Linked DNA regions of Oryzias latipes. The protein of the gene in region 6 purifies or fractionates together with the protein of the main gene of each other region. This does not show direct contact. Links are inferred from orthologs where the notes say so. Each region holds a gene or a part of one and is shown on either strand. Other genes may lie near its edges.

What was found.
Region 1: the proteins of ddx23 (region 6) and prpf6 purify together in Homo sapiens (affinity purification with mass spectrometry; 3 studies listed by BioGRID and IntAct, counting the BioPlex papers as one, with this or other methods). This does not show direct contact. The link is inferred for Oryzias latipes from reciprocal best matches to the Homo sapiens genes DDX23 and PRPF6.
Region 2: the proteins of ddx23 (region 6) and prpf8 purify together in Homo sapiens (affinity purification with mass spectrometry; 5 studies listed by BioGRID and IntAct, counting the BioPlex papers as one, with this or other methods). This does not show direct contact. The link is inferred for Oryzias latipes from reciprocal best matches to the Homo sapiens genes DDX23 and PRPF8.
Region 3: the proteins of ddx23 (region 6) and aar2 purify together in Homo sapiens (affinity purification with mass spectrometry; 3 studies listed by BioGRID and IntAct, counting the BioPlex papers as one, with this or other methods). This does not show direct contact. The link is inferred for Oryzias latipes from reciprocal best matches to the Homo sapiens genes DDX23 and AAR2.
Region 4: the proteins of ddx23 (region 6) and tssc4 purify together in Homo sapiens (affinity purification with mass spectrometry; 3 studies listed by BioGRID and IntAct, with this or other methods). This does not show direct contact. The link is inferred for Oryzias latipes from reciprocal best matches to the Homo sapiens genes DDX23 and TSSC4.
Region 5: the proteins of ddx23 (region 6) and snrpd2 purify together in Homo sapiens (affinity purification with mass spectrometry; 3 studies listed by BioGRID and IntAct, counting the BioPlex papers as one, with this or other methods). This does not show direct contact. The link is inferred for Oryzias latipes from reciprocal best matches to the Homo sapiens genes DDX23 and SNRPD2.
Region 7: the proteins of ddx23 (region 6) and snrnp40 purify together in Homo sapiens (affinity purification with mass spectrometry; 3 studies listed by BioGRID and IntAct, counting the BioPlex papers as one, with this or other methods). This does not show direct contact. The link is inferred for Oryzias latipes from reciprocal best matches to the Homo sapiens genes DDX23 and SNRNP40.

The regions. Positions count from the first base shown.
Region 1 is NC_019865.2:15,463,701-15,467,597, forward strand, and holds part of prpf6 (pre-mRNA-processing factor 6), read right to left. Parts: coding exon 3,849-3,897; intron 2,192-3,848; coding exon 2,063-2,191; intron 1,962-2,062; coding exon 1,867-1,961; intron 1,520-1,866; coding exon 1,363-1,519; intron 207-1,362; coding exon 44-206; intron 1-43. UniProt on the Homo sapiens protein: Involved in pre-mRNA splicing as component of the U4/U6-U5 tri-snRNP complex, one of the building blocks of the spliceosome.
Region 2 is NC_019871.2:16,920,671-16,924,567, forward strand, and holds part of prpf8 (pre-mRNA-processing-splicing factor 8), read left to right. Parts: intron 1-357; coding exon 358-521; intron 522-604; coding exon 605-731; intron 732-901; coding exon 902-1,094; intron 1,095-1,210; coding exon 1,211-1,398; intron 1,399-1,490; coding exon 1,491-1,729; intron 1,730-1,805; coding exon 1,806-1,952; intron 1,953-2,210; coding exon 2,211-2,421; intron 2,422-2,537; coding exon 2,538-2,654; intron 2,655-2,747; coding exon 2,748-2,995; intron 2,996-3,096; coding exon 3,097-3,276; intron 3,277-3,404; coding exon 3,405-3,540; intron 3,541-3,806; coding exon 3,807-3,897. UniProt on the Homo sapiens protein: Plays a role in pre-mRNA splicing as core component of precatalytic, catalytic and postcatalytic spliceosomal complexes, both of the predominant U2-type spliceosome and the minor U12-type spliceosome.
Region 3 is NC_019865.2:15,451,291-15,455,629, reverse strand, and holds the start of aar2 (protein AAR2 homolog), read left to right. Parts: upstream 1-1,169; 5' UTR 1,170-1,439; intron 1,440-1,996; 5' UTR 1,997-2,131; intron 2,132-2,366; 5' UTR 2,367-2,423; intron 2,424-2,753; 5' UTR 2,754-2,894; intron 2,895-2,991; 5' UTR 2,992-3,996; coding exon 3,997-4,339. UniProt on the Homo sapiens protein: Component of the U5 snRNP complex that is required for spliceosome assembly and for pre-mRNA splicing.
Region 4 is NC_019861.2:37,264,043-37,268,636, forward strand, and holds the start of tssc4 (protein TSSC4), read right to left. Parts: upstream 3,053-4,594; 5' UTR 2,956-3,052; intron 1,096-2,955; 5' UTR 1,026-1,095; coding exon 267-1,025; 3' UTR 1-266. Other genes in the region: shcbp1 (SHC SH2 domain-binding protein 1), read left to right, coding at 3,261-3,393, 4,295-4,504. UniProt on the Homo sapiens protein: Protein associated with the U5 snRNP, during its maturation and its post-splicing recycling and which is required for spliceosomal tri-snRNP complex assembly in the nucleus.
Region 5 is NC_019871.2:25,537,761-25,542,200, reverse strand, and holds the start of snrpd2 (small nuclear ribonucleoprotein Sm D2), read left to right. Parts: upstream 1-1,550; 5' UTR 1,551-1,679; coding exon 1,680-1,681; intron 1,682-3,025; coding exon 3,026-3,205; intron 3,206-4,440. UniProt on the Homo sapiens protein: Plays a role in pre-mRNA splicing as a core component of the spliceosomal U1, U2, U4 and U5 small nuclear ribonucleoproteins (snRNPs), the building blocks of the spliceosome.
Region 6 is NC_019865.2:19,105,471-19,110,061, forward strand, and holds the start of ddx23 (probable ATP-dependent RNA helicase DDX23), read left to right. Parts: upstream 1-1,668; 5' UTR 1,669-1,799; intron 1,800-2,474; coding exon 2,475-2,632; intron 2,633-2,722; coding exon 2,723-2,830; intron 2,831-2,996; coding exon 2,997-3,090; intron 3,091-3,358; coding exon 3,359-3,424; intron 3,425-3,503; coding exon 3,504-3,642; intron 3,643-3,730; coding exon 3,731-3,864; intron 3,865-4,591. UniProt on the Homo sapiens protein: Involved in pre-mRNA splicing and its phosphorylated form (by SRPK2) is required for spliceosomal B complex formation.
Region 7 is NC_019869.2:21,982,574-21,987,244, reverse strand, and holds the start of snrnp40 (U5 small nuclear ribonucleoprotein 40 kDa protein), read left to right. Parts: upstream 1-1,524; 5' UTR 1,525-1,650; coding exon 1,651-1,761; intron 1,762-3,011; coding exon 3,012-3,141; intron 3,142-3,219; coding exon 3,220-3,313; intron 3,314-3,564; coding exon 3,565-3,730; intron 3,731-3,844; coding exon 3,845-3,967; intron 3,968-4,671. UniProt on the Homo sapiens protein: Required for pre-mRNA splicing as component of the activated spliceosome. Component of the U5 small nuclear ribonucleoprotein (snRNP) complex and the U4/U6-U5 tri-snRNP complex, building blocks of the spliceosome.

The DNA.
Region 1 (3,897 bases), about 3.6 Mb from region 6:
ACTGTAATTTGGCTTTATTAGAATCAATATTTGAGAAGTGTACCTTTCCTGAGGACCCGTTTCTTGGCCCGGATGTCCGTCTCCAGCTCAGCAGCTCGGATGTAGACGCGGACGGACTGCGGCATGTGACGGACAGCCTGCGCCACAACAGCTTTAGCCGTGTCTCCGGGCTGGAGCCGAGCGGCCTCCAGCCACACATCTTCACTCTGGTTGAGAGGCACAAATCCTCATGAAAGATTCTTTCATAAATGAACAGGAAAACTGAAATGCTAGAAAGTTCGGTTTGCATTTATAGATACCACAATAAAGTGAAATATTTTCATTCAAAAATAAAACATTTTACAGACGATCAAGTAGAGCTGTGACGGTGTGGGATTTTTGATCACCGCGGTGATGAACCAGCAGCGGGGGCGGTGTGGCGGTTAACCCCCCCCCGGCCAAACACAAAATACCCCCGCGGCTGCGTTGCAAATGAATACAATTACAACGCAGTATTCTTTATTAACAAATAACAGTAACCACTAACTACTACCTATCCACCTAATGAACTAACTATATAGGTGTTGTAGAATGACTATGTGTATGTGTGTCAGCACGCTGCGTATGTAGGAGGAAGGAGCACACAAGTGTGTTAATTCTTCTGCAGCGGACCGCTCTGGAGCTGCAAGCAAGGCTTCACCTGTGCTCTCTGGTACAGACATCTTCTCAGAATATTATATATTGCCCAGTAATAAACAGACTGCAGACACTTTGTCACCTTTCCGGTAGCCATGAAGCCTGACACCCATGAAGAACACGTGGCGGGAGGCTCCGCCTTTGTTTATACAGACACGTAACTTTGCGCTGCACGAAATAATTCCCAAACAAAACATGTAGTGATATTCATCGAAATCTAACAGAGCCCGTTCGTGTTTGGTGTTACGGAGTGAAGGAGAACAGTAATAAACACCACCACCCACGCAACTTGTAATGGAAATGAATAATTAGAACGCAGTAAATTTGTCGCATTTCCTCGCGAGACGGAATTTCTGTTGTACAATGAGGATTTGTATGTGCTGCTGAAACCGCGCACGTGTGTGTAAGGAGAGGGAGCGTGTGGGGCGCAAGAGGGAGTGAGAGCCGCGCAGGGAGTGAAGGAGAACAGTAATAAAAGGTTTCCCCCAGAAGCCCCTGAAGTCTGAACACGGGACTAGCAGAAAAAGTAAATTATCAGCAAAGATGAATGTGTTTAATGTGTTTATTAGTTCCAATCACACACCATATGCAGAAGAAAAAAACGTGCTGTGATGCGGTCATCACCGATGCGGTGATGCTGTGATTGTCACACCCCTTCGATCAAGCCTGCAATAACCTCAAATTTACCTTTGGGCACATTTCTGTGCCTTTCATTATCAGGTTCCTCGCCACCTGAAGTTTACCAGTGACCTCTTCCAGCCTGGCCGAAGCAATCCAAGCAGGTGGATGATGGGGGTTGGTCTCCCTCACTGATTTCAGCAGCAAGCGAGCCTTCTTGATGTCACTGCACCCAAAGAGTTAGATACAAATGATCAAAAACAGACAATCTCAACAACTTCCCACATTCCCGGGAACCTCTTACTCATTGAGATGCAAATTTAGAAGCTATCTCCCCAACTTTACAGTTCGCACTTACCAAATAAAATAAAAATAAAAATTAGAAAAATGCACAGCTTTAGATAGCGCTTTGATTTAATCTTTCCCACTTTCTTTCACACAAAAGGTTTATCCGATGCTTTTTTTGGTTAATGCATAGAAAATCTTATCTGTTATGCAAGGAAGTGGAAACATCTGATGGTGGGATCACAAACGCGTATAAAAGAAAAGAAGTTACGGCCGCGCTGTCGTTACCTGATGTCTCCTCCATAAGTTGGGATCATGGAGTTCAGATCTGTGAGGTATCCTTTAGGGTCCACGACTGTCTGCCCGCTCACAGAATCTGACACCTGCACAGCAAAAGTCAAACGCAACAGAACAATTATCCATATCACTGCAGAACACAAGCAGATTAAAGAGGAAGTCATACTGAATTACACAAAAAGCATACCTGACTGAGCCTCATATCCATGAGAGTGTTCCTGGCCTGACCAATTTTCCTCATATCCAGTTCTCCTGTTCCAGGTGTCATCAGACCAGGGGTCATGCTCCCAGGGTAAGGTGTGTTCAGGCCCCCCAGCTAGTGCAGACAGGAAATAATGTTAGAAGAGAAGGAGCATTATTGTTCCAGGGAATTCGGTTTCCAATTACAGTTCCCTCACAAGTGTAACAAGATAGAATATATAATGTGAACAAACTGTAAATGTGTGAAACTGCTTTTCTATGCTGTGAACTGAAAATGACAAAAAATGTGCCAAGAATAACTAGAAAAGTTGCATTTCCTGGGTATATACGATTAACTGACTAATTGCAAAAGGTGGTTGCTTTTATTGGCTTAATCGCATAACTTTTAGCAGAGGAAGCTGAAATGTATTGAAAAGAAAAAGGCTGGATAAATTGCTGAAGCTGTTTGCGTAAAATCTGCAGAGGTTTTCGGATTGCCAAGCTGCAGAAGACATCACCATTATAATGCTGCAATTAATTCACATTGCAAAAAAACCTGTAAAATTTTTAGCTAAATGCCAAATTAGCTTGAAAACCCTTGATAGATGTCAAATTAAATGATCTAACATAAGTGAGCCAGCACAATGTAGATGTAATGGTTACATAACAAAAATGTAAAGGAATGTCTACATTTGCACCTACAGCTAGCATGATGTTAATATAAAGGTTTAATGCTATGCTAGTTAAAGCTGTTCATACAAACAGAATTTATTCCAAACACGGGGATTTGTGTTTGAAACTTTGAATAAAAAAACATCTATGTGTCATTGAAAGTGTCAAAGGTCCCCTGAACTTTTGCAAAGCCCGTCTCAGTGTGTCTGTGCGTGTCTGAAAGAGAGTGCTGTCTCCATGGCAACGGGTTCAAATTCCAGGACTGCTCGCAGCTGTATATGTCATCTACGTAGGCACAAACGCTACAGAGTCTGAGATGGACAGATGTCCCAAACAAAATGATGCTGTGTCTCAACTATACGTCAGATTAAAATAATTGTTGAGAAATTATAGGAGGAGATGCATTTCAAAAACAGAGAAGTTGAAGCACTGTCTCCATTGACTTCCATTATATTTGAAATTCAAACAACTTAAAATTTTGAAAAACTTTAAATGTTACCAAAATGGTTTAAAGACAGCAGAAAAGTCTACAAAAGAGCAGAACAAATGCATGTTTGAATTTTTTGAACGGCATAAAGTATGCAGAAGTTAGCTTTGCAGTAAGTTTGAAGTTGCTGAAGAGCCTTCCCCTATGTACTTCTATGGCAACATTTTGCAGCAATTTTGTTGAATTGCAGAAAAACCATAAGTTGTAGCAGAAATCGCAGAAGATAGCAATAATGTCCTCAATTTGCAGGACATTTTGATACTTGAATGGCAGAAATCAGATAAAATATGCAGAAGATATGAACGGACAAAAAAACGCACGAAAGAATAAGAATGAATAATAAGAGAAGAACAAGCCAAAGGAGGGCCACAGTTCCACAGCCTGAATTCAGGACTGCAGTTATAAAGCACTAAAACCAATAAACTAATTCCATCTTGTTACTGTCCAAATACCCATCAGCTCACGGCTGCTGTACAGAAGCTACAAAGTAGCAGTATCATAAACATTTGGCAGTTGCTAAGACTGTTTTAGGTGAAGTTTCCTGACCCCTGCTGGACTAAACTGGGACTGCAGCATGATGCATGGTTTTCAGTGCTTCTAGTTGGATCTTGTGCGTGTGCGCGTATTTACTGACTCCTTGCAAAGGGTCGACAGAGGAGTGGTTCTCTCCGCTCTGCAGGTGC
Region 2 (3,897 bases), on a different chromosome or scaffold from region 6:
TAAAACTCTTATTTAACCCTCCTGTCAGGAGTATGATTTAGATTTTTCTTTTAAATTGCTGACAAGATGAAAAACACATTCCGAAATATATATTTTTTCTAAATAAGAAAAAGTCCTCTTACAAAGGCGCTCTGGCATTGGTCTGCTTGTCTGTGCGTAAGAACAAGAGGAACATCAATGTGAACAGTTATTTTTATTGCTGGTTACAGATGCAGTTGGCCACTAACTGTTCAGACAATTTAATTCATCATTTGAAAAAGTACAATTAAAAGTGTTATAATTCTTAACCCATGAGTCTCAATCTAAAACATTTGACCTGCTTTAAACTTTTTTCCTAACTTTGTGTTCTGGTTGCAGGATGGCCCTTACATCACAGCAGAAGAAGCTGTTGCCATTTACACCACCACTGTGCACTGGCTGGAGAGCCGGCGATTCTCGCCCATTCCGTTTCCCCCACTGTCGTACAAACATGACACCAAGCTGTTGATCCTGGCTCTGGAAAGGCTCAAAGAGGCCTACAGGTACAAATGTTAGAACATAACGGACTCAATTTAACACGACTGCTCCTGTTCAAGATTGTGATTTTTATCTTCCTTCCTCATAGTGTGAAATCTCGTCTGAATCAGAGTCAGAGGGAGGAACTCGGCCTGATCGAACAAGCCTATGACAACCCTCATGAAGCTCTGTCCAGGATCAAACGTCACCTGCTCACCCAGAGAGCGTTCAAAGAGGTCAGCACGACTGACTGACTCTATATTGGCTGCAACATTTAAAAGCTTCAAGGGAAAAAGTTGACCTTTGAAAAAACCGAGCATGTCTTTTTTTTCAACCAGTGTTCGGTTAAACCCTTTTTCCAAACCTGTTTATTGCATCACATTTGATGTTTTTCTTGTCGTTTCAGGTTGGCATTGAGTTCATGGATTTGTACAGCCACCTGGTGCCAGTGTATGATGTGGAACCCCTGGAGAAAATCACAGATGCATACCTGGATCAGTACCTATGGTACGAAGCAGACAAGAGACGGCTGTTCCCACCCTGGATCAAACCTGCTGATACTGAACCACCTCCACTTTTGGTTTACAAGTGGTGCCAAGGTGAGTCCCAGCCTATGTTGATTTCAAATAGATGTTTTACTGCCGTGTAATTTAAATGCTCTTAAAGAAAAATATTACAAAGGAGCTAATGTAGTTTATTTGGCTGCTCCTGTCAGGCATCAACAACTTGCAGGATGTGTGGGAGACTGCGGAGGGAGAGTGCAACGTGATGCTGGAGTCCCGCTACGAGAAGATGTACGAAAAAATCGATTTGACTTTGCTGAACAGGTTACTGCGCCTTATTGTTGACCACAACATCGCTGATTACATGACGGCCAAGAACAACGTTGTCATAAACTACAAAGTAAGCTCTCCTCTGTTTGGGAACATTGAGCTTGAGCGCATAATCATTGTCTTTAAACTGGTCCATGATGTCAATACATTCATTTCTTCTAGGACATGAACCACACCAACTCTTACGGCATCATCAGAGGCCTGCAGTTTGCTTCGTTCATTGTGCAGTACTACGGCCTGGTGATGGACCTGCTGGTCCTCGGCCTGCACCGTGCCAGTGAGATGGCGGGCTCCCCTCAGATGCCCAACGACTTCCTCAGTTTCCAAGACACCGCAACGGAGTCTGCTCACCCAATCCGACTGTACTGCCGTTACATCGACCGCATACACATCTTCTTCAGGTGAGACTAAAAACAAAATGCCTTTCCTAACTCATTGGCAGATTCTAAAACTCTGCTTTCTTTTTACGGCCTTCAGGTTCTCTGCTGATGAAGCCAGAGACCTGATTCAGCGATATCTGACGGAGCATCCGGACCCCAACAATGAAAACATAGTGGGGTACAACAACAAGAAGTGCTGGCCCCGTGACGCCCGCATGAGACTTATGAAGCACGATGTAAACCTGTAAGTTCATCTTCACAATATATAGTGAATAGATTCATCAGAATTTTAATTGAAAGCACAGTTATAAGCAGCTCTAACATTTCCTTGGAGCTCATAGTTGTTGGGAGAAGAACCCTTTCTGCACAGCACCTCTTCTAGTTTACTACTGTTCACATCATCATGCACTGATGGCGGAAAAACACTCTTCAGCATAACTTTAAACGTAACATTGGAGGAGACTGCGATGGCGTTTATCACAAATCTTATTTCCCTCCCCAGTGGACGTGCAGTGTTCTGGGACATCAAGAACCGCCTGCCCAGGTCTGTGACCACGGTGCAGTGGGAGAACAGCTTCGTGTCCGTTTACAGCAAAGACAACCCCAACCTGCTCTTCAACATGTGTGGGTTCGAGTGTCGCATTCTTCCCAAGTGTCGCACCAGCTATGAGGAATTCACTCACAAGGATGGCGTCTGGAACCTGCAGAATGAGGTGAGGAACAATAACGGTCAGCTGCTGGCTTTTGGAGACAGCTGCAGTCTCGTGTGTAAAGCAAACATTGTTCAGTTTATTTTGAAATGGAAAATGGTTGTTTTTCTTTGTGCCAGGTAACAAAAGAGAGGACTGCGCAGTGTTTCCTCCGAGTGGATGATGAGTCAATGCAGCGTTTCCACAACAGAGTGCGTCAGATCCTGATGGCTTCTGGCTCCACCACTTTCACCAAGGCTAGTAGAAATCCCTGTAAATCACTCTGGTGTCCTGGCCATTATCATAGACCATGATCAAATAAAAATCCATTGTCTTGTTTTTCCTCTTAGATTGTGAACAAGTGGAACACCGCTCTCATCGGCCTCATGACGTACTTCCGCGAGGCTGTGGTCAATACTCAGGAGCTGCTGGACCTGCTGGTGAAATGTGAGAACAAAATCCAGACACGTATCAAGATTGGCCTCAACTCCAAAATGCCGAGCCGCTTCCCTCCCGTGGTCTTTTACACCCCCAAAGAGTTGGGTGGGCTGGGCATGCTGTCCATGGGTCATGTCCTCATCCCACAGTCAGACCTGCGGTACGTTCTGCCACATTTCTGTCCCAACGTCTCTTCTTGAAGCTAAAAACACATGTGGTGTCTAAACAAACCAGTCATTCAGTTCTCTGTTGCTGCTACAGGTGGTCTAAGCAGACCGACGTGGGAATCACCCACTTCAGGTCTGGAATGAGCCACGAAGAAGACCAGCTCATTCCTAACTTGTATCGATACATCCAGCCGTGGGAGAGTGAGTTCATCGACTCTCAGAGAGTTTGGGCCGAGTACGCCCTCAAGAGACAGGAAGCCATTGGTCAGAACAGGTGCGGACAAAATGAGATCAGCGTTTAAGGGTTCACAACGTTCCTGTTCGCGGAACTGTTTTATGAAGGGGTTCAGTTGAATGCGAGTGTTAAACAAGTCGTGTAAAACGTGTTGTTTGTTGTTCTAGACGTCTGACTCTGGAGGATTTGGAGGACTCCTGGGACAGAGGAATTCCCCGCATCAACACACTTTTCCAGAAAGACAGACACACTCTGGCTTATGACAAAGGTTGGAGAGTCAGGACAGATTTCAAGCAGTATCAGGTATGACGGAGATGCTCCTTATGAGAATAAATTAATCTGGAAGTGAATATCTGCTTCTTTGAAAGAATGGATAGAAAGTCAATAGTTTGTCAATGCTACTGAGAGTCACAAACAAGTTAACCTTATTTAATTTCAAGCATGAAATTATAGAACTATTAAAATTACATTCATATAGATGTTTTTGACTTGCAGATTAGTTTCTTTGATGCTGTATTTGACCATTTAAATTTACACAGGTGGTTGAAGATGATCTTTTTTGAATGCAGGTTCTGAAGCAGAATCCATTCTGGTGGACTCACCAGAGGCATGATGGTAAACTTTGGAACCTGAACAACTACCGCACAGACATGATCCAGG
Region 3 (4,339 bases), about 3.7 Mb from region 6:
CTTAGAAGTATCTTTGAACTTATGGATCACCAAGGATTAAGTAAATAAACAGAAATATGAATTCATTTTTTAGACTTTGTTTCTGTTATAATCAGTGAGACCAACTTTTTCCTCTGACAATGACACCCCTTTGTATTGTTCAGGGAGTCTAGATAGAGTTAGCTCAGACCTTCTTTTTTGTTGAGGTTCATGTCTGTTCTTAAAGTTTCTGGCCAGAAATTAGCGCATGCATTCCCGTCCCCCTGTGCAAAAGACCCAATCCTGCTTTGCCCTGCAATTTGAAAGAAATCTGTAAAACTTTACGCAATAGAGTGTGCAAAATGACAATGTAAAAACTCCATGTTTGGTTTGTTCAACTTTTAATTTTTGTGTCTTTACTCCCAAACAAACAATGCAGACCTTCTGAAGTGAATGTTTGGTTGAGGGGAATTCTGACTCCAAACTCAGTGAGACAGACGATGATCTGCAAATGATGTTTTCAAAGTAAGGCTAAACATAGCAGCTACAATATTCAAGAGAAGTCTCTTCATGCATCTAGAAAAAGTTTTTTTTAAACTTTTGAGTCTCAATTCAGCAGTAATTATCTGGTGAGATCTTAAATTACACTAATATCTCATTTAGATTTCATGAATAAAATTTGCATTTGTTCCACAGGATTAGACAGTTCTCAAAGTTTCTGTCATTAAATGACAAAAAAATATTTCTCAAACTGAATTAAATGCTGATTCTTGTATTTTTACATCAATGCAGCTGAAATATAACTTTCTTTCTATAAAAGTGTTTTTCAGATGTCAGAATAAAATGTGAGAATATGGGAGAACAAAAACTTTCATTGTAGGAAATGTTCTGCTGGACCAGTTCAGTTACCCCCACCACCCCCACCCCCGCAGTCGGTTCCCATAGTTGTTTATTGTTATAAAATGTGGTTTCTCATTTTTTTTGTCTAAATCACAAATAAAGGGTTTCTTTATTTTATCATTCAACCATAAACTAGACCTCTAAACTTTTATTCATTAATACCATTATTATTAGAAAGTAACGCTAGTTGATGAGAAGAAAAGCTTCTCTTTTAGTGTCCTATCTTCCAAACGAAACCGAAAGCACAAAGGCAGATGATTGATTGCAGGAGTTTCCTCGACCTGAACCGACTGGAATTTGATGAAATCCTAAACCCAGCGTCAGTAGTCCATGACGGGGAGGAAATTGAGCAGCAGCAGCAGCAGCCTGGGTGATGCTGGAAAGACGCAGCGCTGCGTCGGCTGTGACTGACCCCGCTGCAGCTCTGACCTCTGCACCTGAGAAAGTGTGCAGTGCAGACAGTACCGAGAGGAAGCAGAAGGATAATGAGAGCAGCTGGAGCGTTAATTCCACGAACCTGCAAGTCACTGTCAGACATAGGTTTGCTCGTCTGAGGATCCTGCTGAAGAGCATAATAAATGGTAAGCGCACTGGTGCGTAATTACGCACGCACAGTGACAAAGTGAGTTGTTTTAGTGCTTTGATGCCAAAGCAGAGATTGAGAATTAAACCTGAGACTCGGACTTGAGTCTCACTTCAGTTTCAAAGGCAGGGATTTAAGACTTGAAAGCCTATTTAAGACTGAAACCTTAACTTCAAGAGCATCAGACTAGACTTTGAGGACTTGAGAACATTCTTAGTTTATTTTTAGTTTTACCTTAAAAAAAAAAAACAGATTGAGGTCTAATATTTTTGTGCTGTATGTGTCACTATTAGGTGGTTTAAAATACTGTAATGACATTAGTGAGAATCACACATTTTTAAAAATAATTTCCAACATTTTGGATTTGACTTGTAACCAAAGACTTAAAACCAGACTATGACTTGGGAAAAGTGGATTTCAGAGCATTTTAATGCCAAAGTCTGTGCACTTTGTCTTTCTGTCATGTGATACAAAGATGCCCAGGAGCCGAGTGATTTTATTCAGTCTTCACTGGGCTGCATTTAAGGTACTTCCACACCTCTTTCTTTTATGCAGTGTCTGACCGGAACTCTACTCCACAGTGTCCTGGTGGTTCTCTTGTTGGCCAACTCATCTGGTAAAAGTAAATGTAACTACAAAGACATACTGGGCTTCTACAGAGAAGTCATCTTCGTTGAGCTGCAGAATCTGGTATGACGACCAAACTGACCGCAAAATAAGAATTTCAATGTTTGTTTATATTCAACAGCCTTTTACCTACAGCTGACACTAAGAAAAGTGTTGGAATATATGGTTAGAGACTGCCCTCCAGTGTTTGTTTTGCAACACACACACAAAGAAAAGCCTCAAAACGAATTTTCCCACACTTTGAATGAGATGAAACTGGATTTCTAAAATAATATTTTTGATGACTAATGTTTTTCAGAATTTGACTGTTTCTCACAACTCATCCAAAGGGAGAGATCCCTGCCCCTCTGCAAAGGTGAGCATCAATGCTATAGGTACATTAGATGTAGTTTGGTGGCTGTAAAACGGAAATCACACACACAACAAATGCAGTAAACGTAGTAACAAAAATGGAAACAAATTACAGAAAACTGTTAAAATAGAACATTTAAAAATATTTTGCTTTAAAAAAAAAAAAACAATATTAAAAGTAAAAACAAAAAAACAAAAAAGGAGATTTCTTTAACCCTGATGTGACATATTTGTTTAGTTTGGCAAGTTTTGTCTACCCAAATACTTGCATTGTTTGTTATCAAGGTCTTTAAATGCTGTCTGTTTTCTCCTTTTTCCTGCCATCTCATGGCAGGCACATCGCATCCTTGTGTCCATATACATTAACACACAGCAGGTCCTCTGTTTGAAGAGCGGCAAGAAGCTGTCTGACCTGAAAAAGCCAATAGAAAACATGGAGCAGCTCATCGTTCAAAACTGCAGTCCTAATTATATGGTGAGAAAAAGTACCGATGCAGATCTTTGAAGTATGCAAAAAAACTTAAAAATCTGAACTAATTTATCTTTTTTTTCTTTTTTTCTTTTACTTCTAGGGAAAGAAAAACCCCTGTTCATCTGCCCAAAAAATACAAGGGAGAAAAGGCAAGAGATTTAGGGTGATCAAAACCATAAAGGCATTGATTAGATGTTGGGAAAAACTCAAAAGTGTCGTACCCTCTGATAAATAGTATGACTTTGGTCCCTAGGACCCGTGCTACTCTATGCACTCAAATTTCCAGATGGTTCTTCCAATCTGGTCAAGATAGACTTTGTAAAAAAAAAAACGGCTTCCTCTTTTATTGGAATGCTCAAGTTGTTTTATTCCTCCTTTTTTTAACAGTTGTCGAGATCTCCGAGTTTTGTGATTAAAAAAACGCCATCCACTGCATGTCAGCATTCCTCTTTGCAATATGAATTGTTTCCTAATAAGCCAAGATAAGCTAAAAAGTATTCACTCACCATTCAGATGTTCTCCAGTAAAATATGCACATTTTCATTCTTTGTAGCATGTTTTTTTTGAATGACATATTGACATTATACATATTTCCTGTCTTTTTTACTGTAATTTCATTTAATAAAATACTGAATATTTATTAATACTTTTATTAGAGAGGAAATTGTTGGTTTTGTTGTTTTTTATAAAAGGAAATCTTAAAGAGTGGAACTGTTCTTAAAAAGAATGTTTCCGACGGAACAAATAAGGTGTTACGCAGCGTCCGCCAGTGTTTACAGCCGAGAGTCCGCGAAGCGAATTCGCCACGAATCTGAACATTATCGTAAAGTAGCTTTTGTTCTTTGCATGTTAGTAAAAAAAAAAGTGCGAAGGGCAGTTCTTAGTCAGAATTATACTCTTTTCATTGTTTGTTTTCGTAACATTTACAGCGACGCAGAAATGCGTTTTTGTTCCTTAACAACACTCCCCTGAAGCAGCTTCTTCACTAGTCTGTGACTGTCTGTGGGACGTTCTGGGTAATCCTTTCCAATATTCAGGACACTTGTATTTTATTTTAGGAGGTTATTTGTGACACAAATTGAGTTGCGTCTGATTAAAAGCTAACATGGCTAGCAACTCTGTCGACATGGATCCTGATGTTGCTCGGAGGCTGTTTGAGGAAGGAGCCACGCTGGTGCTGCTCGGTGTTCCTCGTGGCACAGAGCTTGGGATAGATTGCAAAAGTTGGCAGGTTGGTCCTCGCTTCCGGGGAGTTAAGATGATCCCCCCAGGTCTTCATTTTCTCCATTACTGCTCTGTTAGCTCCATTAATAGTGGAGGAGAGGTGGGCCCCAAAACAGGCGTCTTCCTCACCCTTAAACCCAGAGAAATCCTCCTCGCCAACTGGGATCCCACTGCAGAAGACCTGGACTTTTCAGCCTCCAAGAATGAAGAGGAGTTGACTCGGA
Region 4 (4,594 bases), on a different chromosome or scaffold from region 6:
TTTATTTGAACCAGAATGAAGAATTCTAGGAGGAATTTCAGGCCTTTTTTGGATTCTTTTATTGTATTTCCTGCTCTGCTAAGATAACTGCAGCATTGTTGGTCGTTAGTTTTATGAAGAAAGAATTCATGAAACGTCACTAAACCAAACTCTCATGCTTTTTTCAGCCTGGTTTGTATTGATAGTTTGTTCATATGTCAAACTTTCTTTGAATAAAACATCAAATGTTCCAGCTTTAGCACAAAGTCAGCATCAAATCGAGCATTTTAGCACTCATCCTTGTGATCCGAGCTCCTTCTGTAGCTCTTCCTCTTCATTTTCTTGAAGGGGGTGAAGCTGGGGAGGGACTCCTGCTGGTCTCTGACCTCCTCTGCATCCTGCTGGGTCTTTCCAGCAGCCTTGTTGTCCTCCTCCTCTTCCTCAGCCAGGTGACTGAGGTGCAGTCTCTTCTCCTTTCCTTGCTGGTCTGACTCAGAGATTTCTTCCTTGAACGCTCGTTTGGGTTTAGAGAAGACCACCTTTTGCTGCTGGTCGTGGGGGGGTTCACCGGGGGGGCGGTTGCCCTCTTCAGGCCGCAGACTGGACAGGAAGTTGTGCGCCGCCCTGCGGTTCTCCTGATCAGTGGTCTCCTTCACGTCCTCCAGGCTGTAGCGCGTCCAGCGATCAGGGTGCAGCAGGTAGTCCGGGACCCCCCTCTTCTTTGCAGGAGGGGGACATTTGGGAGGGGGCATGCTCTCCTCGGGGAGCAGAGGTGCCGTCTGCCTCTCGACGCCATCCAGGCAGTCGAAGACGCTGCGGCTGCGGTCGGAGAACGCAGAGTTCCCTCCGCTCAAGACGAACGTGCTCGCAGTTGAGCGGGTGGCGCCGAGAGCGCACGCCTCCTCGCCCCCGTCGTCGCTGTCATCCAGCTCCGGGTCAAAGGGCGCCCGGCTCAGCTCTTCCTCGGGCTCCGACTCGTCACTGGCCGACAGCTCAAAGCCTTCTTGGTCGTCGCCGCAGCTCTGGACGCATTTCTGCTGCGACATCTTCAGCCGCGGCTGCAGCCGAACCCCGAGCCGCGAGGAAGACAAACCCGGTCAGGTGGGAACCCCAAAACTGTAGAGGAAGACACCAAAGGTCAGGCCACCCCATCAAACCTGCATGGACTGGTTTTAACATCTACCAAAACAACAACAAGCTGCTAGGACCTGTGAGGACGGACCACCGAGCATCCAACAGTAAATATGAGGGTTTTGGAAATAACCTGTAAAATAATAATGATCCTCTATGTTTACATCCATTTTAAAAGCAAGCATAATTATTTAAGTCCTAATTCTGTTCAATTCAAAACAAACTTGAAATAAATGTTTTGAAATAATGACCCAATAAAAGGTCAATAATTACAAGAATGCGCACGTGCAGCCAGTGCTGAACGTTGTCATTGGCTGCACGGACCCACAGGAAGGGTCAAGGTTAGGATTTCGGTAAGTTCAGGCAGGTATCCAGGAAGCACGTTTAAACTAGCCTGACTTTAAGCCTGAACTCTGGCTGAAATCCGCCTGAACTTGCTTACTCTGGGTATGTCGGTATGACCAGATTTGAGTTAGTGTAATTACGCTGGACTTGGTAACCCTAACTCAAACTCCCCAACCATCAAATCAGAGAATATTTGAATGAAACGTCCTTTCCCTACATCTCAAATTCAAATTATATAACCCAATATTTCAATAATTCAGAAAAGAAACAAATACGAACCAAATATTTCAAACTCCCCATCCCTCCTAAAGCCAAGGAAGTCAATTTTAAAACCTTTTCAGGTATTTTACCCTTCCAAGGAATTACTAAGAAAACGGTTTGGAATTCCTGAAAACTGCTGTTCTTTTTGTCATGATGACATTGAAACAACTGAGCATCTTTTCTTTGAATGTTTTGACTCTAATGTCTTTTGGAATTATTGGCTTTTCCCCCAAATCCCACATTTAGCAGACTTTTCTATTAAGGACATCATTTTTGGGTTTAATTTAAAAAACAAAAAAACACAGAACTTATTTTAAATGTTGTAATTATTTTGGGTAAATTCTATATACATAAATGTCAATTCCTTGAAATCCAACCATATTCTTTTACATTTCATAAAGAACTCTGCTCTTTTTTTCATCTGCAAACTTCATGGAAATCAAACTTGCTATGGAACTTCAAAGTATTATATGTAACTTGCAGCTTTTTGAGAACCCCCCAAGTCAAGAATCATTAAAATGTCTATGTGACCCCCTTTTTATTTTAATTTCTTTTATTTAATTTTTTTTCGGTATTATTGTTATATTTTTATTTTATCCTGCCTATGTTGTTTGTTCATGTCCTGTACTTTTTCTACTTTTCTATACTTGTCATAATTGTATACAATTGTTACAAATTGTAAACCTCAAGTGTTTTTTCAATTAAAAAAAAAGCTAAAAATAAAGAAAATACCCCCCTGGTTCCTGAGCGGCTGTTTCTGCAGCTCTCCGCTCCTCCAGGATCAAAGTACAATTTTCTCACAGTTAATGGGATTTTAACTTTAAATATGTTTTCCATAACTTTGTTTTCTAGTAAAAATACGTGCGAACAACAATAATAACATCATCATGATCATCAGCCTTAACAGCGCATGAATTAAAACATCTGTTTCATCTCATATATGAATTTTTTTTGTGCCTAAAAAACTAAAGCTTTTGTTTTGATTTTATTTAAAAAGATTGGCAATAAAAATAAAAATAACTCGGAATATTGACTTCGTAAAAACAAGATTCAGACTGAAGTTAGTTAGCATGCTAAGTAGCACGATGCTAGTAGTAGCGCGACATGCTAACAACGTTACAAATGCTTATAAACAAAACAAAAATGCTGTCTAGCCGAAAAGAGCTGCGAAATGCGCTGTTGTTTACATGACAAATATTTATATAATACGCGTAGTTTTGACTTAAATCCCGTTTGTACCTTTGAAATAGCGCAGACCGCCGGCCGAAACCCTCTTCTTCTACGGTAGATCGTGTAATGTTTACGTCATTACTGCCCCCTAACGATTGTCCTGTGGTACTGCAGACCGAGCCGATCCGCGCATGTAAAAAAACAAGGGCGGGTCTTTATATAGCTCCCTGCTGTGATTGGCTGAGCTGCAGCAGACCGGGATCTTTTGAAAGTGTCAGGGCGTGGGCTCAGAACTCCGCTTGTTGTTTCAAAGCTCCAAGTGCCGCGTGATCCTCATTTAATCCCGTTAAACCGAGACTCTGGCGAGCGTTTCAATGGAGTTCGAAGCCCTGGAAACCGGGTGTACCGTCAGCGACGTGTCGGACTTGGTGGTGGTCGATCTGGATCCTCAGGTCGAGACGGACAGCGTTTGCTCCGCGGGACCCGGTTTATTGGATGTAGCGCAAGGTTTGTTACGTTACCGTTTTTGGTTTGAGTTTTCTTTCCTCCGAGTCGGTGTATGAGACAAGCTAACCGCTGCCGTCGAGGTTTGCTAGCTTGGAGATTTAGCAGACTTTTTATCCGAGTTTCCGGCGGTCTGTGAACGCAGCGTCTTCATATGTCGTCAGCCTGAGCTGCATTCTCGGAACTGTCAATCTTGCAGGATTTTCCAAACTTAACCCAAATACGACAAATAATTATATTTCACTCTCATCTGAGTAGACATTAACGGATGTTGAAATAAACAAATAACACAATTATGTTATTACAAAAACAAAATATACCTATAGAAGACCGCAAAAGGGGTGTCAGACTGTTTCTTTTTTTTTTTTTAAGATATCCTGCCTTATCTGCTACTGATTACCTGGATCAGGTGTGCTTCATGGCAGGTTGGTTGGACAACATGTAGGACACCGGCCCTCGAGGCCTGGAGTTTGACACCTGGAAAACGGGGGTGTAAATAAATTCATTTATTTGTGTATGTAGACACAGTATTTGTGACTCTTTTGTTGATTCTATGAAGTTGTTTAACAGATTGTTAAATAAAAGAGAAGAGAAAATATCTGCTTTCATGAGGATTTTGACACAGGAGGACCGGAAAAAGCCTTAAAACCTGTTAACTTACTAAAAATACAGCAATTAAGGACAAAAATAACATTTAAAATGCCTATGAAATTATTATTAAAATTAGAGTTGAAAGCATATTTTTTAAAATAGCAAAATAACTTTATAAATGAGTTAAATCAATGCAAACATTTTTTTTAAAGTCCTTCAAAGTTTAAAAAAGCATTAACAGTCTTTTATTTTGAAAAGTGGCGCTGGACAAACTTTCACAGCCATCATTCATGACCTCCGCTGGGTTCTGCAGCTCTGTTCCAGAACGATGATGCTGGAGACGTCAGTGACGAAGACGAGGATGACGACGACGACAGCGGGACAGACCACCAGAACTCTGAGAGGTCGGGGACGCAGCTGCAGAGGTCGGAGCGGCGGTCAGGAGCGACTCTGCCGGACACCTTCCAGACCGGCAGCCTGCTGTTCTACGAGAGGTTCAAGGCGTACCAGGACTACATGCTGGGTAACGGGGGACCCCAACGCTCGCATGGAGGCGGTTATATTACAGTACAATCATGCAAAACACCCACGACGGTGTAGAAAGAGCTGCAGA
Region 5 (4,440 bases), on a different chromosome or scaffold from region 6:
TGTTATTTTTCCATCCTTGTTGAGGCATCTCCTTCAAATCTTCTGTCCTATGAAGAAGCTTTCAGTTTTTATTATTTTTTATTTTTTACTCTTTTATTGACATTATGCAATGAGGGGAAAAGATAAGCAATAAATAGATTAATATGTTATCAGAATCCTTTAATCAACATTTTAGTTGTTAGAAAAAGTCTACTAAAAAACTTGAGTTGTGGTCCTACAACTATTTGTAGTTTTAACGGTTTACTCAACAAACTTGAAAAAAAGCCCAAAGGGATTGTTTGTGTTTGGAATTGGTTTCCTTATTTCATAAGTCACAAGATCTCCTTTGGATGTTGGCCAAAAAGGAATTGTGGATTTTACCATCTGAAAGAAGTGCTACAACATTTTTGTCAACGGCTCAGACTCTTTAAGACATCTCTTCAAAACAAAACTTATATTAGACTAACATTAGATAAATACACCTGCTGTAGATCTCATAGAACTCAGTTGTGAGAGTTTCTAAATGACACTATAATGCATCTTATAACTTTTTATAATTGTATTATAAATGGTAAATGGCGTATAATTGTACTGCGCTTTCTACCTTCCTTGAAGGCCAAAATCAGTCACCTATTCATACACAGATTCACATACTGGTTTCCTGGTTGCTGAACACTGGCACCAACCTTCCACCAGAAGCAAGGTGGTGTTCAGTTCAGCGTCTTTCCCAAGGACACTTCAACGGTAGGGCGGGTATCGAACCTGCAATCTAACGATCAGAGGGTGACCACCCTACCACGGCTGCCCATGTATGCAAGACATGACAGCAATAAACCTGGAGCCTAAAACTTTTACTATTAAAGTTTTTTTGTATTGTTTGATTTGCAAAATGCAGTTACAAAAGGCCATGTTTATAGTTTCTTGATATTGAATTATATTTTTCAAATAAATGAGTTTAAAAATACTGCTAAAAATACAAATGAACAATGCTGCATCATTTGTTTAGCACCTACAATAATAGATAAGGCAATCTGTGATTTGGAACGTGGCACATATGAAAAAAAGGAAAGGTTATTATTATTATTATTGTTTTTGTTGTTATTAATATTATTACTATTATTGTTGTTGTTGTTATTTCCAATATTTTAATTGTTGTTGTTGTTAATAATGTTGTTGTTGTTTACCAGGCAAAGGTCACAGACTAAGCAACGTCTCTTTTATTTTATATTATTTCTTGATACTGTCAACCTGGACTTTGATATCCTGCAAATGCAAAATAACTGGATAAAAGCAATGCTGAATTTAAATGTATCAAATTGTATTTAATTAATCTTTTTCGTGTATTTATTTAAACATGTTCTATAATGTCGTTTGTTAAATTGCTGCATGAATGCTGGGGCATTCATAACAGTTTTAACTTCGGCTTCAGTAACGAAATTACTAGAGATGGATGCAAGATTAGAATAGAATATTTTAGCTGATGACCGTTGTTTGATTTTTTTTCTATTGTTGCCAAAAAGAATAGAATATTTTTCGAATTTTTGGTTTGCGTCGTAACCCGGAAGTTATTCTATTTAAGCGCGTTAATATCACCGGAAGTGATTCTGTGCACGCGACTGTCGGCTAAAACGTTGTAGACACGACCGACGCACGAAAGAGGCTTTGGAACTTTACTAAACGGTTTTTATAAACCAGGAATCATGTTAGTATCTTCTATTGTGTCTCGATGTTGAGGGCAATGTTACTTTTTACGTTTAGCTGCTAATATGGAGATCGCACTATTAAGCTAGCAGCATTTTCCTTCGAGTTGGTGCTAGATCGCTTTGTGTGGCCTAGTGGGTGGTTTTTAGAAATGTGTTAAATTGGATTACATTGCAATTACTGCATTCTCAAATTAAATTGTTTAAAAAGTTACGTCCAAAGCTAAATTCTGTGATTGTACATCGCGCGAAAGCTTGATGGACGTACTAAGCCTCATTAGCTAATTGCTAATGAGACTGTTAGCTTGCTCTATCCATCATGAGTAAATGTCCTCGTTGTGCGATTGCAGCATTCATTCTTTAGAAAGTAGAAATGTTTAAGCTTCTGCAAGATGATATGATCAAAGTCGTCGGTTATAGACTCATTTTGTGTGAAAGCCAAAGTTTTGTTCTAAATATTTTGTGCGTAAAGAGCCTAAACTCTTTGCTGATCTCAAAGCACACACTGTTCAGAGATTGTTGAAAACTTCAAATGTATCTGGAAACAATAAATGTTCTGTGCTCATTTAAGGGTGGCGGGAGGCTTTAATGTTTTAAAACTTGATCCTTTTATAAAGTCTAGTATTTGTTGACCTTTATTTAGGTAAATTGTTTCTCTATCATCCAGAGCAGCCATTTTTTTTAAAGTAGGTTTTACTTCTGCCTATTTGTAGTGATCATTGTACAAATATAAAGAAATATCGAGACTAAAATGTACTGATTCAATTTATCAATGACCAAAGCATTTATTGTGTGTGTGAGATAATTCCTCAATAGTTTTGATTCCGTCTGATGTAATGTCTCCTGTACAATGGTTTTCTGGTTAATACTAGTTTTGCATGTTTAGTTTTATTTAGATATTTGGTTGTGGTCCATTTTCCTGCTTAAGCACCTTCTGCCTCTCAAATGTCTCTATTAACTGAGCACTTTCAGTCAACAGCTTCAGCTCTCATAAATGCTCTTTTGCAGGAACTGAGACTTTTTTTAGCTGGTTCCACTTTTCAGATGTCTTGCCTATATTGTACATTTTTGTGCTAACTTGACTTTATAAGAAAATGATCATTTTGTTGAGGCACACAGATGAAGCCAACTCTTGGATTCGCATTAACAGTAACTAATGCTTGTGTGTGCATTAAATACGAAAGTGTTGCGTTTGTGTCTTTATATTTATTTTTTAATTTAAAAGAATAATAATAAAAAGGCCCAAATCCAAATAATAGGCCGCCCAAGCAGTCGATGCTTAAACAGTACATCGTTGCTTATTTTGTTTGCTGTTATCACTAATTCAGAACTTGTTTAATCCACAGGAGTCTTCTAACGAAACCTAAGTCAGAGATGACGCCTGAAGAGCTCCAGAAAAGAGAAGAGGAGGAGTTCAACACTGGCCCTCTGTCGGTGCTCACCCAGTCAGTCAAGAACAACACCCAAGTCCTCATTAACTGTCGCAACAACAAGAAGCTGCTTGGAAGAGTCAAAGCATTCGACAGGTATTGGGGGGCTGCTGGTGTAGCGGAGAGAGGTTTAAGTGTGTATTTAGGACTTTTATATGAAGAGGAAACAAACACGAAGAGCTTGCATCTTGATTTAGAAAGTGTTGCTTCACTAAAGCATATTTTTGCAGTCTTTTTTTCTTCTTCTTTCCAGGATTTGAAATAACATGGCGCCTTACAGTGGTTTTATTCTAAAATGTTTCAATTATTCCCTCCTCTCTTTGACATATTCCTTTAATAGAATCAAGAATAAAATACATTCAGAAGAATTCAAATACAAGTAAAACACTAAATATAAGCTCACAAATGTAAGAGATTAAAAAGGCGTCCATAGCATCTCCTCCACATTGGGTACTGTGCCTGATGTGGGTGTGGGGTTTGAATGATTTCATTCTCTGAAGCATTGTTTTGTTTTTTTATCAAGTATGAGTTGAATAAAAAGCCACTTCTTAAATACTAAACCTGTTTTAAGGGTTAGATGTCAACAGCAAGATTTCTATATGTAGTCACTTGTGTAATAAAATCAAATTTTCTTACAAAGCTTAAGCAATGAAGAAGGGAGATTGCAAGATGTTTTATTTCAATAGTTCTTGCATTGTAATTTTCTGATCTTTTTGGTTTTTAAAAGAATAGATTACGTATGTGAGCAAATCCACCTGAGCACCCCAAGATTTCAAATGCCAGTGAGTTATTAGTATGAAGGTAAAAATGTGTCTAAATAGACGAGCTTGTAGATTTGGTGTGAGAACTTGTAATTTACAATGTGAGAACTTGCACACCAAAAATCTGCATCTGTGTGTAAAAATCTTCTGCTGTAAAGTCTGACAAACTAAATCAGAACTGACAAATTCCCATTTAGAGTTACAACCTCCAATCTGGGATTACAACTGCTCAAATGTGAATCTGCTGGCGCACATCACAAGTGCACAACAACTGCGCTCTGACTTCTGACACATTCCTTGTGAGAAACTTGTGTCAAAATTGATCTGTGTACGAAAACGGAACGGGGGGGACAATAGGGTCATGATTAGTCAGTACAGAAAGTTTGCTGACATTAGCTTTAGTATCTTTAGAACTATTGAGCACCTTTATTATGAATCATGTCTCTTAAAATGTGAAAAACTATATAAAATATATTAAACATGGAATTTCTCAGCAGGAAGTCCGAATCTGTGAAGATCTTTCTAACTTTACCAAGTCCTCTGAGTCCTGCACTCTGATTGGTTGACTCC
Region 6 (4,591 bases):
GGACAAGTATTTTGTGTTTCTTTTAGCTCTGACCATTTGAAAAATTACTATTTTAACTTTGCATTTGCTTTAATCTATAGCATCTAACACGCTTCTCACATGTGAGGACAGTGTGACATTTAGTGATAGGCTTCAGGACAAAATGACCACCAGGCTTCAAATTTGAACTCCTGACCAGCAAACTGGCTGATGGCTGTTCAACCCAGTAAACTAAGGCCATCGCCTCAAGATGCAACAATACGAACTGCTTCACCGTTTTACATGACATGGCTTGGACATGGCCTAAATACTGTGGCTTAGTTCATATTAACGGTTTTTAATATTTAGACTTTTTGTTAAAGTTAATTTGTTTCTGTTAATTAAACAGTTTCAAAACGGAGACCCTACACTAATTTAAAAAAATGATCCATGCTATGTTTTCTAGAGGATCAAATGTAATAGATCTATCTTTTGGCTTGGTCTTCTTAGACTTTTGCTTCTCTCTTTCTTATTCTTCCTATTCCAGCAGCTTTCTATTTTTATCTGTTTCAAACTGAAACAAATTACATTTTTGTATTTCAGTGGTTATATTTCAGATTTTTGCTTCAGATATTTTTTGATCAACTGGTGAAGGCCGAAAATAGAAATATGTGCGTGCGTAGCCAATTTGAACTCAAATTCAGCACACAGACATACATTTTGATTTCACTGAGGGGTCTGGGATCCATCATTTCTACAAAGTTTCATAAAAAGAATTTTAACTGCTAAATGTATGCATTTTTGCAAAAGGGAAAGTAACTACAAAATACATTCAGAATAATTAATTTATTTTCCATGGAGACTGCTCTTATTTGGAATAACAAATCTTTTTATATCTCAACCACAACCACACTTCTTAATTTAAACAATTTGAGTTTTAAAGTATCTATCTATCTATAGAGTGGCCTTTTCTTGTGGCCAGTCTAAGGCACACCTATGGCAGGCCATTTTAACATCAAAAGGCTAAGTTTGACTATCCGGAATGAACATTGTAGATATCAGCAACGTATTTCTGACTAGTCGTAATTACATTTTGGATAGTTGGAATTGTAATTCAAGATATCTGTAACGTAATTGTGATAGTCGAAACGACCGATAGAGATATGGCCTGCCATACACACCTGTGCAATAATCTTACTGTCTAATCAGCATCTTGATATGGCACACCTGTGAGGTGGGATGGATTGTCTTGGCAAAGGAGAAGTGCTCACTATCACAGATTTAGACAAATTTGTGAACAATATTTCAGAGAACTGGTTATTTTGTGTATGTGGAAAATGTTTCACGTCTTTGAGTTCATACCATAAAATATGGGAGCAATAACAAAAGTGTTGCGTTCATATTTTTGGTCTATCTATCTATCTATCTATCTATCTATCTATCTATCTATCTATCTATCTATCTATCTATCTATCTATCTATCTATCTATCTATCTATCTATCTATCTATCTATCTATCTATCTATCTATCTATCTATCTATCTATCTATCTATCTATCTATCTCAGATAAATGCATCGCGATCGCCACCCTGTGCCCAAAATGAAAAATAAACTGAATTTTATACAGGCATTTAGGTGGACATACATTAAACAATCTGGGTCCTCAGAAAGGTCACGAGATTGCTGGGTAGTGTAGTTGATATTTGCTTTTCATGCACGGATCACCAAAGCACGAAACTTCAACTCCCACGTACCCTTGCGAGGAAAGCTTATTTCGAGCGTTATGGAGTCTTCTTGAATCGTTTCTCTATCGCAGTACGTTTGTTGACAAGTGAAAAGGGTAAGTTAACAATCTGCTAAATATAAAGCCTCTGAGCGGGTTAAACTTATGGTTATCATAATGTGTTTTATATGATGTCGGTGGTGCAGAATTGGAGAGTTAATGTAGAAAGAAGCGGCCTTTGTAGCTAAGTCGTTTGCTAGCTAGTGTGTTACTAGCGCTAACTCGCGCTGGATATGCATAGCAGCAACATTCATTTCCCAAAGATTGAGTAAATCACGTTTCCTTGTCTTTTTTTTTTTAAAATATACATTATTTTTTAAAGTTCCTTTTGCTTTTGTATCTATATATTTTACTCGAAAGTTCAAACTCTAAGCATGTTTTTTTTCTTTTATGATTTACAATTTACATAAGAAATTGTTCTTTTTGTGGGAAAAACAATTCATTTAACTGGAACTTCGTAAAGAAATTGTTGTGAAAAAGCGAAATGTCAAGTTGTGACGCTGATGTATAAAATTTTTTTTTGGTAATGTGAATTTTAATGCAAAATTAATGAGCATTATGTCTTGTTTTCCAGTTAGTGCTTCTATCCATATATGTGAATATAATAAAACAGCACTTTATTTTGATATGTTGCAAAAACAATAAAAAAAATACAGAAACTAACTTTTATGATGTATTTCCCAGGTGATGGTTTTAAAAAAAAGTTCTGCTTACATGTTATTGTGTTTGCAGATGGCAGCTGACTCCACAGATAAGAAAGATGCTGAATCCTCAGCGAGCAAGGACAGGGAGAGGAAACGCAGCCGCTCCCGGGACCGAGATCGCAAAGCGTCTCCACTGCGCAAACGTCATCGCTCTCGCGAACGGAACCGCTCCAAATCCGCAGAAAGGTTGCTACACACGCAGAACTGTGTCAGTGTATCATGGCTAATTGGGTTCACGTTCTAATGTTTTTTTTCTGATTTGTTTTATATTTACAGAGACCGACGCATGAAGGACAGAGACAAGGACCGCGACAGGGATAAAGACAGGGACAGGGGCCGCAAGGACAGAGAGAGGGACAGCCATCGCCGGGATCGCAATAAAAGGTCTAGATATCTCGCAGAGAACACATCATTATTAATATACTGTGAGAGGAAATGGGAAAGGAACTCCCTTTGGCATTCTTGGGTTTGTAGAGACTTACGATGACCCGGAAATGGCTCTAACGGCTTGAGGTTATTTTATTTTTTTATATGTTTTTATCTTTTATAGAAGTCCGTCTCCAAAGTCAAAGGATGGCAGGATGAAGAAGGAAAAAGAGATCAAAACAGAGGAGGAAGAAGAGGAAAATAAAAAGAAAGAAAAGGTTTGATTTTTCTATCTATAAAAAAAACTTGAATAATAATCATTTACTCCACAAACAAGGCAAAGAGGGGCAGACATGGTTGTTTTTTAAGCTTCATTTTTTTAAACATATTTTTTAACCAAGATTTAGGAGTTTGAACAAAGAAAGATCCAAAAGTTTAATTTTTGATTGGGATTTCTTCTTGTTTTTTTAAGTTTCAAAAGTTTTGTGCTGATTTAGAAACAATACTTGAAGTGATGCACTGAACCTGCATTGTGTTGTGGTTCAGGTCCAACCGCTTTCGTTGGAGGAGCTTTTGGCCAAGAAGAAGGCAGAAGAAGAAGCAGAATCCAAGGTTGGATTATTCCCGAGAGAAGTGTTTCTTCTTTCTCATTTTTCTATTGTAAATTTTATTTTTTTGTTTTGTTTTTCAGCCCAAGTTTCTGTCAAGAGCAGAGAGAGAAGCCGAGGCTATAAAGCGCAGGGAGCAGCAGGTGGAGGAGAAGAAGAAATTGATGGAAGACGAGAGGAAGAAGAGGAGGGTGTTTCAGGATATGGGTAGAAAAATGTTGGGTGAGTTTCTAACTTGTTCCTCGAAAACAACCCGGCATTTTACTTTGCTAAAGAGACGTGTTAAAAAAGATGTGGCTGTCTCTCCCAGAGGACCCACAGGAGCGGGAGAGACGTGAGAGGAGGGAACGAATGGACCGAGAGAATAATGGAAATGAAGAGGACGATGAGCGCCTAAAGATGCGGGAGGAGAAAGATAAAACTAAAGAACTCCATGCCATCAAGGTTGGTTGCAATCCCAGTTGCGTCAAATGCTTTGATAAAGACAGGAAGGAAGCAGCTTTTGGGTTGTTTCTCTTAAATATACCTTATCTAGAGGCTTCGGGGTACTTTTAAGAGCAGTTTCCTGGTCTCTGGATTGTTCCATGTACCATAATTTCAGGATTATAAATCGCTATTTTTGTCACACGCTTTCAACCCTGTGGCTTATTCAATGATGCAGCTAATTTATGCATTTTTAAATGCAATTTTTCGAGCAGAAAGGGAAAGCGTGAGGCAGGGGGAATACGGTATATGTGTCGAGGAAGACGCAAGTTTAATGTAAATTCCTGCTTTGTGAATGAATAGCACAAACAGACCCTCATCATGGAAAATGCAAGAAGAAATGCATATGATGCAGCTTTCAAGTTAAAAGCGATCATTAAAAGCAGTGTGAAAAAAATCCACCATCACCAACGGGTTTGGAAAAGGTGGTCTGCTGCATGATGGAGAGGACAGCGCAAGCTCAGGAGAGAATTTGCCTCAGGATGAGAGTGACACTGACAGTGACAACGAAGGAGAGATGGAGAGAGAGTGTGGCGAAGAATCTCTGACGCTATTCCAATCAACACTGAGGAGGAAGACTTCCATGGTTTCAGTGCACAAGTGGCCGCACTGACGGAGCGGACGCCTTCAAGTTACTGCTGCTCTCAGTGACTCTTTTTTTTTTCTCTCTGTGATTTTTACCGGTATG
Region 7 (4,671 bases), on a different chromosome or scaffold from region 6:
AAAATTACCCCACGAGCAATCTATTAAAGTTTGAAAGTGTGCATTACTGTGGCAGATTGTCAAGTGAATTTCTTTAAAAAAAAGTGTACACTCAAGTGGAGCAGAGAAAGTAAAAATTCTATTTTAGTGAGTTTTCTCCTATTCAAAATCTTACAGCCTGTTTATCACTCCCTTAATTTGAGCTGAGCTCGCCACACAAATGTCAAATCTCTTATGCTCATCCTAGATTTTTTTTGCTCAAACTACTCTAGTTTTGAGATTTTGGTACCCACAAGTGAGGAGGTGCTCTGCCACAGTCATAAGTACCTGTTTAGAATCGGTATGTGCCAACTTTATACCAGTACTGTTTCCCAAAACCAAGTAGTTGCATTGTCTGGTACAAGCTGAAGCTGGTATACAAACTGGAGACCAGGTTTTTTATGTAACTAGAGATGATAACAGTAAAGTGAGTTTTCAGAGAAAACCCCTGGATGTTTCCTCAATCAGTCAGCACTAAGGTGGCATACATTGCCTTGTACAGATCTGCGGTCAGGGCTGCACTGTGACAAAGTGGTTAGCGCTTTACTCTAAATCTGTGCATGCGTGGGTTTTCTCCAGGAGATCCGGCTTCCTCCCACCATCCAAAAACATGCGAGTGGCCGGGTAAGGCTCTGACAGCCCCATGACCCCGAAAGGGACAAAACGGGTTTACAAAATGGATAGATTTGCCATCAGTGTTTATGCCCAGACAATTCAGAGAGCAGAGACCTTGAGGTGAAAACTTGCAATCCCTTTATCTTCGTGGTTTCCGACCAAACTCTTCCCTTTAAGACAACTTACTGCCTCTCTTAGATTTCTACATAATTTGGGAGAGGAAATGAAACAGCAATCTTCTTTCATCCAATTCACCAAACGAAAGTCATAAAAGAAAATGAATTAATTTCAAAGGTAATGTGGTTGACAGAAAGAGTTCGGTAAATTTTTAACCTCTGCTGTGCTGTTCACTTCTTGCAAATAAAGAATGACCTTGTGCCTTTTGGGATATTTATTTGTACAAATATGTGGTTGAAAATGAAAATTGTCATTCGTGTCATTTTAAACTACGATGAAGCCAACCTGTCGCAATAAAGCATTAACTTCCCGGTACCAAAGAAATATAATTACTAATTTTATTTATGTAAAAATTAGCTCAAAGTTGTTGTTTTTTAATAATCGAGCGAACAAAAAATCTAAGTTGACAACAAGACAAGTCAGCAATGAATTTGGTTAGCTTATAATTTCGTCCTCTTACGGTTTGTACCGTCAGTTCAAAGACAAAAGCTCAGACATGAACAGTATAGGCGTTTGTCGTGGTAGAACGATAAGGAAAATCACGCAAAAAGTATCTTAAGTCTTGAAAAAAGGATGAAAATATTACCTTTCGTGTGGTTAGCTGAACTCAGATTGTTGTACTTCCGGTGCATTGTCGCTGACAACGTCTTCATCAGCCAATCACAGCAGGAGATGGATGTTTAAACCAATCACACAGCTCATACTCACCGGAAACACTTCATCCTGATTTCTTCGTTGGTGCTACGCTTTTCTCGTTTCCCATGAAGGCGCAAATAGTCATTCGGTAAACCGTAGTCACAAACAAACTTATTTTTGTCGATTATTTGCAATTATTTCGGGATGATTGAACCAAAGAAAAGAGCGGGAGACATGGCGGTAATTCCCACCGCTGTGAAGCGAGCCCGGAACGAGCTGGTGGCGGCGGCACAGTCCCAGCAACTCGTGGCTACGGTACGAAAAGAATCAACGTTCACACAAAAAAACTCAAATTAGAGAAAATATATACACACGGGTGTTGACCCGCATTTGTATTATGCATGCTTTAAATGATGTAATCTAAAATTTACTCAAACACGACATTTTTTGTGGTGCACCTATTATTTCTTGACGTAGAGAACACATGACAACGAATAACAACACGAGTTTTCGCTAGGATATTTAATTTTTGGATGTAATGTTGCTTCTTTAAAATACGTATTATATTCGAAATCCCGTTGTTATCAACAAACTGATGGTAAAGGAACCTTTCCCAGTTATGGGTGTTTCCGGGGTGAACCGTGAACAGGTTACAAATCCTAGGCTAATGTTATGATAGAAAATTAAAAAATGTTATTTTTTTTATTAAGCATGAGTTTTGTGTATTTAAACCTTTTCCAGTTTGTAGATGTTTTTCTGTAAGTAGATATTTTGATTATTGAGACAAAACTATAGGATATTTAACAGGATAGATACTAAATCTTTTTTTTCTATTGTAAAAAATAAATAGCTTTTAAACACTGGGGTTTCATTTTAGCAATCATCTTTTGATGTTGCAAAAATCTGCATGACATATCACCTGCAACAGTCACATTCACAGTCACCCATGCACACACACATTCACACACTGATGGCGGTTTCGCTCTCTTACTGGCGCCAAACTATAACCACCAGAAGCAATGTGGGGTTCAGTGTCCTGCCCAAGGACATTTCCACACATGGGTGGGCAAGGCGGGAACCTAACCTGCGATATTCATGATCAGGTGGACCGCTCTGCCTCTGCACCACAAGCCCCTGCATGGAAAGTGTGCCACCATAGGGTGCAGAGGCAGAGCGGTCCACCTGATCACAAATATCGCAGGTTAGGTTCCCGCCTTGCCCACCCATTTGTGGAACCTAACCTGCGATATTTGTGATCAGGTGGACCGCTCTGCCTCTGCACCACAAGCCCCTGCATGGAAAGTGTGCCACCATAGGGTGGCAAGATCCTTTGTGTCACATGATCAATTTGATCCTTTACAAATGATCCATTTCCTCACTGGTCTGCTGCAGATTTGCATTAAACTTTGTGGACTTTACTCTGAAGCGTTCTGTGGCACATTAAGCCCAAACGCACTTTTATTTATCTGTCTTTTATCACATGCCTGTTTTCTTTTTAGATTTCACTTGGACTAAATCTGGAAGAAAAAAACAGAAAGTAAATTAAACTGACCTTTCTCCTCCAGGGTCCTCCTCGGACCTCCAGCCTGCAAGCTCCCATCATGCTGATGTCGGGCCACGAGGGCGAGGTGTACTGCTGCAAATTTCATCCAAATGGAGCCACGCTGGCGTCTTCTGGCTTCGACCGACTCATATGTAAGCAAAAAGAGGCAAGCTGCCGTTCTCCCGGCCTTCTTCTGTTGCTTTGTTCCTCACTTACTTCCTTTACCTCAGTTCTGTGGAACGTTTTTGGGGAGTGTGAAAATTACGCCACCCTGAAGGGCCACAGTGGAGCTGTGATGGAGCTGCATTACAACACAGATGGCAGGTAGGAAGAAAGCTGTAGATTTTATCTTTAAACTTCACCTTTAAATTGACATTTTTCTTGTTTTAGGTTATGTTTACAGTGAAAGTAAAGCTCATATTCTCATTGTTTCTTAGTCTTAGTTTGATTTCAAAAACTAAGGAACTTTATGGAACAAAAAAAATGTTCATCTGTAAATTTTAGGACTTGGAACTATCTACATTTCTTAAATAACCTTTCCATAAAATTTGACTGGATCATTTTTGTGCCTCCAGCTTGTTATTTTCGGCAAGCACAGACAAGACCGTGGGCATTTGGGACAGTGAAACAGGGGAGAGGATTAAGCGCCTGAAAGGTCACACTTCCTTTGTTAACACCTGCTACCCAGCTCGCCGGGGGCCACAACTGGTCTGCACCGGCAGCGATGATGGGACGATAAAGGTGTGACATTTTTATTTTAGGTGCAGTTATTTATTCTGAATGCTTCAACTGTTGAGGTCCCATTCAAAGTTTTTAAATGTTGCTTTATTGTATTTTTGTTAATCGTCACTGCAGTTGTGGGACATCCGTAAAAAGGCGGCAATTCACACCTTCCAGAACACCTACCAAGTTTTGGCCGTGACGTTTAATGACACCAGCGACCAAATCCTGTCTGGAGGCATCGACAATGACATCAAGGTATTTGGATTGTTCTAAAAAAAACAACAACCAGCAGAGTGTCCTTGGTTTTGTTTTGTAAGATTAACAGGAAGTCTGAAATCTCAGCTGCTACGTGGCTCTACTGTAGATGGCAAGAAAAAAGTTTGACATTTTATAAAAACTCAGTGTTTAAGGTAAAAACTTTCTGACATTTTGAAAGAAAAAAGAAATCAGTGATTTAGTTGTTTTCAATCCGTTTTAAATAACACATTTTATTAGTCTGCCATAAAGCTTAAATCAACGTTTTATCATGTGTTTGCCTTCATTTAAATGCACCAAATAATCTGATTCTACTTAGATAAAGACTAACATGTGAAAAAAAAAATTTCGGTTTCATTTATTTATTTGTTATTTGTCAAATTCCTATTATTGTAGATAATAGCGAAATGGGTTAAAAAGATACAATTTAAAGTGAAATGGATTCTGTGAAATTTAAATATCGTTAGGCAGAATTGTTATTATTGTTTGTAGATGGGAAGTGATTGATTTGTGTTGCATGAAAAACAGGAATAAATGAAAGAGTTGGTTGTGACTTAACTGACCTTTCAAAATAAAGCTCAGGTCTTTGTCTCAGTTATGAGGTACAACTTCCTTAATCATTAAAATACACTTAAAGTGTATATGAAAGTATGTTTTAGTTTGAAATTACAAAGATATTACAAACAGATTTTTAAGAGTCATTG